Danio rerio: one gene and its partner. The protein of the gene in region 2 interacts with the protein of the main gene of each other region in a biochemical or structural test. Links are inferred from orthologs where the notes say so. Each region holds a gene or a part of one and is shown on either strand. Other genes may lie near its edges.

Region 1 (4,210 bases), on a different chromosome or scaffold from region 2:
ATAAATGAACAAAGTAACTCTTGACCTACATTTGTTTCCCATTCAGTAATCCAGTTTCACTCAGAAATACATCAAATGGGATGCCACAACAGATTCTAAATCTAATGAGTATGCTGCTTTACAGGAGGACATATATATTGCATGTAAATACCTTCTAACATGTATAGATTAAAATGTGAAAACTAAAAAAGCTGTGTTTTCCACATTAACTGTTAAAGCTATGTTAGCTCAACCAATGGGATTTACCTATTCGGTTCAGAGAACATGTAAAAAAAACAGCCTTTTCTGTTTAAATGGTGTAAAACCTACACACTCAACCACTAAAGTAAAAAACAGCTCTAAATCGAAGGGGTGATGCAATTTGCTCACAATAACAGAGTGCAAGGAAACAGATCTGTAGATCTGCCACAAAACAAATAAGAAGCTTCTACATGATTTCACTTGAGATGAATATTATGTTTCCTTCAGATATCACTGTGGAATTATAGTCTAAGCACTAAAAAGCAGTTAAATCTGGCCTTCCAGAAAACAGTGGGCAAGCGTTAGCTCACAAATCCATGGCTTCTCTCTCAAAGCGTCTCCTCTTGCAGCCCCACCAACTGCCTTCTCTTATGTAACCCACTCTGTTTCCTCAGCTCGCCTGTCTTTATTGGCTGATTTCTCTGTTTTTCACATTATTACCACTATCTTGTGCTGTAGTGATGATTGCCAAAAATCAAACAGCTTTTTTCCATTTTACTTACTGCACAGCCTTCCAATTCAAATGTACCTCAGAAGCGATAGCCTTCGCAAATGACACACATCCACGAGGCCTTCAAAGATAACTAAAGCTTCTTTAATAATCTTGACAGACAACAGCCTAACCAGAGGAGGAGAAACCAGCAAGATGATCCATGGTCTCCTCCTCACATACGAGAATCTTTAATAGCGACATTGTCCTATATACCTCTGTTAAACAATTTCCTTCTCATTAATTAAACATACACTCCATCAATATGCCCTAGGAGTGCTTGTGCCTATCAGGTATTGCGTGCGGCGCTCAGGAGAAGATATTTGCTTGATTTATTTTCACATTGCTGCACGCCATACATCAAAATAAGAGGGAAATTACTGAAGAAACTGAGAATAAACAGGAAATGTCAGATCTTAAGGGTTCATTTGTTCAGTTTACAGCAAATGCTGCCAAGAAGGCATGCATAATTCATGATTAAAACAAAAGCGAATGAGTGAAAAACCGCACTGCTTTTGACTGATGCCTCTCCCATCCTCTGAACGGAGGCAGAATTAGTCAGCTCCTTGCTCACGCCTTCCTTCCCTGCGCTTGGTGAAATTTCACCCTCGCTGCCACCGAGATCTCACCCTCCATTTTCTCTGCATCTCCGCCACTCGCTCTGCATCCTCTCTCCCTCGGCCATGGACAATTACCAATAAAAACCTGTGCGCTCGCACACACCCCCACACCGTAGACATGCACGCACACTGAAGGCACAGAGCATGCATGCGGCTCGTTCTCACATGAGAGCCTGCTTCCTCCATTTTATACATTCAGAGCGACCCTTCCCCCACCCCTGCTGCCACTTACACACACACACACACACACCTCACTTAATTACAGCTTCTGTTTCCAGGTTCAGTTTAATACGCTCTGCTACATGAGGTTAAAATCTAGCTGAAAAGATAGACGAACAGTGCATAACGCTCGACGTCTCGCTTCTGGCTGTATCTCAACAGGCTGAAAAGGAACATGAAAATGCACACGTTGTCAACATCTTCACCTCCTGAATCTAAAATAATAATCCATTACTCGTTGGAAATTAGATTTGATCGTGTGTTCCGCCTGGTCAGCGGCAGTGTTGGCAGGGTCACTGCCATCCTTGGATTAAATTGGCGGAGCTACATTCACTTGTTGCGTGGTCACAGCGGCCCTGTCAATCCTTGTCAGATGACGGTTTAGATAAGTATGTACACAGGGGATTGATGAAACCATAAAGCAGCGATGGAGCATTAAATACATGAAGATTAAACTCCTCTGCAAGAATCAATCTTGACGAGCATACTGTAAGATTACAGCACATGCAGTATGAAAGGATCAACACTGGATGAATCCCTTAAAAAAAGCGATGCATCGCTTAGTAGCCTAAGGGAGCTGGCTGATTCTACTTGGTTTCAAGCTAGAGACCACATACACCAACTGCCTACCGCCTGCTGCCTACTCTCAGTGCCCCCAACAGCCCCCAAACGCCATTTACCTGGTCATACCAGTCCCGGTTGGAACAGGTGCACTCGGGCCACCATCCTCCTTGCCCTCCTGAGTTGTTACCATTCACCTTGGGGCCGCCCTTGGATTGGCTCTTAGGGTTGGGACCTCCAGGACCCCCAGCTGACATCATTTTCCCTTTACTTCTCCCCAAAGTGCCCCCTCCACCCATTCCCCCTCCTCCACCCGAGGTCTGGGGCGGTAAGGTCTGGCCACCCCCATAGCCGGCCGGGTATCCGTAGGGTTCGGGCTGCCATTCTCCATATGCTGGGGCGTCCATCCTGCGCAGGGCGGCCATGCGGGTCACTTCATAGCATTCTGGGCACTTGCAGCAGTGGTGATGTTTGTGCATGCTGGCTAGTTCACGCGGTGCGGCGCTCTCTGTCTCTTTCTATCTCACTGCTGCTGCTGCTCCCTGCTCAGATCAAACGCAGCGCGCAGAACGGCAGCACAAATGGCAGAAATCTTCACAAACCCTGTTATCCTCCTCTTTGTTCCTGGCGATCCACAAAAAGAGATGAGGAGGTAGCAACAGGGTGATGAAAAATAGAAAAAGCTTGGTAGTCTTCCTCCAGTCGATGCAAAAGGCTTGGAAAAATAATGCTGAAAATAGTGTGTATGATCTCGGAATCAGAGACCAGCCCCGATGGTCGAGTTCTCTTCTTGCTTCTGTTGCTTCACAGTGATATGTATATAAATTCATAGATATATATATTCATTTGTTTATATATGTATATATTTACACACACACAAGTACATATAAAAATATCAATATAAACAGACGAGCACAAATACAATTATATACAGGTATATATGTATACATATATATTTCTATAAATATCAATATGCGTGTGTACAAATATATATAGATATATATATAAACAATTTCTATATATAAACGATATCCGTGATCAGGTCTTCCTCTGAAAGTCTCTGCTTGCCAGATTTCTTCCTTCTGCGTTTCCTCCTGCTTCTGGAAGCGTTTTCTTGCCTTCTTTCTCTCACTCTTTTCCCAGTCTGCAGAGAGAAGCTGAGCACTGGATTGACTCTCAGCCTGCTTGCCCTAGATGTGGATTATACGAAGGGATGCAAGCAAGCGAGGGAGAGAGGGAGGGATAGAGAGAGAGAGAGAGAGAGAGAGAGAGAGAGAGATGCGTAGCAGCATCCCTCCAGCACCTCAGCCCTGACAGCCACAGCCAATCAACTCACAGCACAGCCATCAGCAGCAGCACCAACACAGGGCTGACTGCTTCAGTGACTGCTCTTAAAGGGCCAGCACACCAAAAAATCTCTCTGCACACAGAGCCCGATTGGAGACCTGCCTTGAGGGTTTATACTGAAGACGTGTAACATACGAGGCTGACAGAAAACCTATCTATTCAATCTAATTACATTATAAGAGTATTAACTAGTGTGTGTCTGTTTGTGTGTATGTATATATATATATATATATATATATATATATATATATATATATATATATATATATATATATATATATATTACTATTAGTAACTAGTATACATATGGCTTGTTTATAATCTCCATGAAACTTCATAGATCAAAAACAAAAACAGATTTGACTCCAAAGAAATAACCAGTTGTCTAACAGCTATATTCAGTTATAAACATTCATATTTGTAGTGTGTAATAATGTGGGATAGTACACCCGAAAATGTCAATTTTCTGTTAAATTACCCAGCTTCAGTCTATCTAAAATGTCTTTATTTTTCTTCAATAAAACAATAATAAAATTTTTAGCTGAAACAAGTTTTCTTTTTTGATTCATAAAATGCCAATGACTTAATAAAGAAAAATAATTATAATAAAAAGCACAGACCAACAAAATTAATACTAGTGGCTCATGACAATACAATTGAGGTATTGAATGAATGGACCAATATGTGCAAGTACTGTACATTATTATGAAATTATTTATTTACTTTAAGCCTT
Region 2 (4,218 bases):
TTTTAACAACTATTATAAACTAAATAGCAGTCGCCTCACAGCAAGAAGGTCGCTGGTTCGAGCATCGGCTGGGTCAGTTGGTGTTTCTGTGTGGAGTTTGCATGCTCTCCCTGCGTTAGTGTGGGTTTCCTCCGGGTGTCTCCATTTTTTTACAAAGTCCAAAGACATGCGGTACAGGTGAATTGGGTAGGCTAAATTGTCTGTGGTGTATGAGTGTGTGAATGTGGATGTTTCTCACAGATGGGTTGGGGGTGGAATGGCATATGCTGGATAAGTTGGCGGTTCGTTCCGCTGTGGCGACCCCAGATTAATAAAGGGACTAAGCCAAAAAAAAAATGAATGAATGAATAAACTAAATATATACAACAATCTGTCCAGGTCGCTTTCCTCAGCAGTAAATAGATAGAGATCTTTTAAACGAATGTTATTGTTAGGAATATAATTAAACCGGTAAATAGAGTTAAAATTATATTCTATAAATAAAAAGTTTTATTGAGATGATTGTTGGTGATTGTATGGGTTTTGGCCAGATTTGGTAGCTATAAATGAACAAAGGAAAATTAAGACCGGTTTAAAAAAAGATTTAAGACCTAAAACACAATATTTCAGTTATTTTAAGACTTTTACGGCATAACATTTAAATTTTGAGATTAAAGACATTTAAAAACCAAGCAGAAACCCTGTTTAAAGCACTTTATCTTAAGTGAAAAGCCAATAAAAACACAATACAGGTGACATATTGAGGTATGGTTGGTTTTGTATTTCCACATTCGTTCAGTGACAACTTATATATTAAACGTACTTGTTTACCACGTTACTTTGAATATTGGGTCTGAATTCGCATGCAAAGTGACATTAAAATCACACTAGCATGGTGTACTTTCCTAGTCATTGGCTGCTAATGTGATTTATTTATAATACTAAATATTGTGTAAATATAATAACTTCATCTAAATACGTCAAGTTTTACTGAAATAACATAGCTGTCAAAGTTTAATTAGCTTAAATAAAACATTACAAACCAAACAACGTGTGACTAAACAAAGTCTGCGTTAATAGTAACGTTAGCTGTAAAACATCTAAGTACTTTTTAAACGCATTAATGAGTGCATGTGTAAACAAAGACGCGTTATTATTATTCAGCTGTTAGTTAGCTAACAAGCTAACTATCGTTTATTTTCATAACACCTCCACTGCTTGCAGAGACGAAAACAGTCCTCGAGTCTGCACGAAGCTCAAGCTAACATGTCAGATAACACCACCCGAATGTATACGAAAGTTGTTAAATTAACTAAACACAACTAAAGGTGTTTGAATGGGTAAAGCTGCTAGCTGATGTTAGCCGAGTGAGAATGACGTCACGGAGAAGTGTCAATCCGTCTCACGTCGAGTTTTACAAATAAAACTCTGAATGTTTACCTCGTGTTAAATGAATCGTCAAGGTCTTCATTCCTGTGGCAGATTAGGATGGAGATGGTGGAGTAAAGCGTCAATTCTGCATGTCTGCGAGTTGAGGTGGATGTTCAGTCCTCTCTCAGCTGGCAGTGTCTCATATGGGTGGATTTGAGCGACACAGGATTTCAAACTTCCCTTACAAGACATGGTGACTACAGCAAAACCACATATTAACTGCTAATATCGGTAACGTTATACTGTAAATACATGATACACTGGTTAATCCTTCACTTTAACCCTTACTTTTTGAACAGACATAAAAAATTACATGTTCAATAAAATTGTTTATTTACTGGAAAAAACAGCTTAAACCAGCCTAGACTTTTGCCACTTCCAGGCTGGTTTCCAGCCATTTCCAGCCTGGTCTTAGCTAGTCAGGCTGGGAGGTGACCAGCTAAAACCAGCTTATCCAGCCAAAACCAGCTATGTCCAACTTAAACCAGGCTGGTCAAGCTGGTTTTAGCTGGTTAAGGCTGGTCATTTTCCAGCCTGACCAACTAAGACCAGGCTGGAAATGGCTGGTAACCAGCCTGAAAGGGGCCAAAACCCCTCTAAAACCAGCCTGGTTGACCAGCTAAAACCAGCCTAACAGCACGTAGGGCTGAAGCTGACACTAGTGGATGCTCTGGAACTCTGGGGCTGAAGTCAACACTATGGGGCACCCTTGGTCTGAAACCAACATCGGGGGGGGGGGGGCTCTGGGCCTGAAGTGGATACTCAGGGGCCCTTTGAGGCTGAAGGCAACACTGGAGGGCACTCTGGGGCTGAAGCCAACACTGGGGGGCACTCTGGAACCAAAGCAGACACTGCATGAACTCTGAGGCTAAAGTCAACACTGGGGGGCACTCTGGAGCTAAAGCCAATAATGAGGGCTCTCTGAGGCTGAAGCCAACAATGAGGGCACTCTGGAGCTGAAGCCAACACTGGGGGCACTCTGGAGCTGAAGCCAACACCCTGGGGCACTCTGGGGCTGAAGCCAACACTGAAAGCACTCTGGAGCTAAAGTCAACACTTTGGGGCACTCTGGGGCTGAAGCCAACACTTAGGGCACTCTGGGACTGATGCCAACATTGAGGGCACTCTGGGGTTGAGGCCGACACTGAGGGCACTCTGATGGCTGAAGTCAACTCTGAGGGCACTCTGGGGCTGAAGCCAACACTAAGGGCACTCTGGGGCTAAAGCCAACACTGGGGAGCACTCTGGGGCTGAAGCCAACACTGAGGGCGCTCTGGGGTTGAAGCAGACACTGGGGAGCACTCTTGGGCTGAAGCCAAAACCGAGGGCACTCTGGAGCTGAGGTCAACACTGTGAGGCACTCTGGGGCTGAAGCCAGCACTAAGAGCACTCTGAGGCTGAAGCAGACACTGGGGGCACTCTGGGTTGAAGCCGACACTGAGGGTACTCAGGGACTGAAGCCAACACTGGTGGCACTCTGGGGCTAAAGCCAACACTGAGGGCACTCTGGGGCTAAAGCCAACACTGAGGGCACTCTGGGGCTGAAGCAGACACTGGGGGCACTCTGGGTTAAAGCCGACACTAAGGGCACTCAGGGACTGAAGCCAACACTGGTGGCACTCTGGGGCTAAAGCCAACACTGAGGGCACTCTGGGGCTAAAGCCAACACTGAGGGCACTCTGGGGCTAAAGCCAACACTGAGGGCACTCTGGGGCTGAAGCAGACACTGGGGGCACTCTGGGTTAAAGCCGACACTAAGGGCACTCAGAGACTGAAGCCAACACTAGTGGCACTCTGGGGCTAAAGCCAACACTGAGGGCACTCTGGGGCTAAAGCCAACACTGAGGGCACTCTGGGGCTAAAGCCAACACTGAGGGCACTCTGGGGCTGAAGCGGACACTGGGGGCACTCTGGGTTAAAGCCGACACTGAGGGCACTCAGGGACTGAAGCCAACACTGGTGGCACTCTGGGGCTAAAGCCAACACTGAGGGCACTCTGGGGCTAAAGCCAACACTGAGGGCACTCTGGGGCTAAAGCCAACACTGAGGGCACTCTGGGGCTGAAGCAGACACTGAGGGCACTCTGGGGCTAAAGCCAACACTGAGGGCACTCTGGGGCTGAAGCAGACACTGGGGGCACTCTGGGTTAAAGCCGATACTGAGGGCACTCAGGGACTGAAGCCAACCTCGGCGGGCACTCTAGGACTGACGTCGACATTGAGGGCACTCTGGGGTTGACGCAGACACTGGGGGGAACTCTTGAGCTGAAGCTGAAACTAGTTGCACTATAGGGCTATAGCCAACAACAGAGGGCCCTTCGGTACTGAAGGGTACACTGGGGGAGCGAGTGGTCACTGCTGACATTCTCAGGAGGCAGGTGCATAGTGAATCTGCCAGTATGTAAGGTGAAAAGCACACTGGCAGAACTCCACCATACATTTGACATCAGGTCAAATGTACCTCAAAATACTTTCATCTCCCACTGTGGTATACACTTGAGCCGAGCACTGCATTAAAGACTGGAGAATTAACAAGACCAAAACAAAAGAGTCCCGACAATCAGACCATCATACATTAAAACAATCACCATTTTCCTGAATCCCACACCTAGTACATCCAGAGAAACCGAGAATTTTCAAGTGGTTGATTTTTTTTGTTTCTCTCATAAAAGAAAACAACCTTCTTCAAATGAAACAACACATTCTTTATGAAAGATCAGTCTGTAATTTACTGGATGTGTGTAACAGTTCTCATGAATCCAGCATTGCATCAAGATTGGCTGGGTGTGTCTGTGGGCTGGGAAAGGGA

What was found.
Region 1: the proteins of cysltr2b (region 2) and dlg3 interact in a test that uses a peptide from one of them, tested with the Homo sapiens proteins (2 studies listed by IntAct, with this or other methods). The link is inferred for Danio rerio from reciprocal best matches to the Homo sapiens genes CYSLTR2 and DLG3.

The regions. Positions count from the first base shown.
Region 1 is NC_133189.1:37,721,891-37,726,100, forward strand, and holds the start of dlg3 (disks large homolog 3), read right to left. Parts: upstream 2,835-4,210; 5' UTR 2,610-2,834; coding exon 2,250-2,609; intron 1-2,249. UniProt on the Homo sapiens protein: Required for learning most likely through its role in synaptic plasticity following NMDA receptor signaling.
Region 2 is NC_133190.1:3,203,567-3,207,784, reverse strand, and holds the start of cysltr2b (cysteinyl leukotriene receptor 2), read left to right. Parts: upstream 1-1,330; 5' UTR 1,331-1,603; intron 1,604-4,218. UniProt on the Homo sapiens protein: Receptor for cysteinyl leukotrienes. The response is mediated via a G-protein that activates a phosphatidylinositol-calcium second messenger system.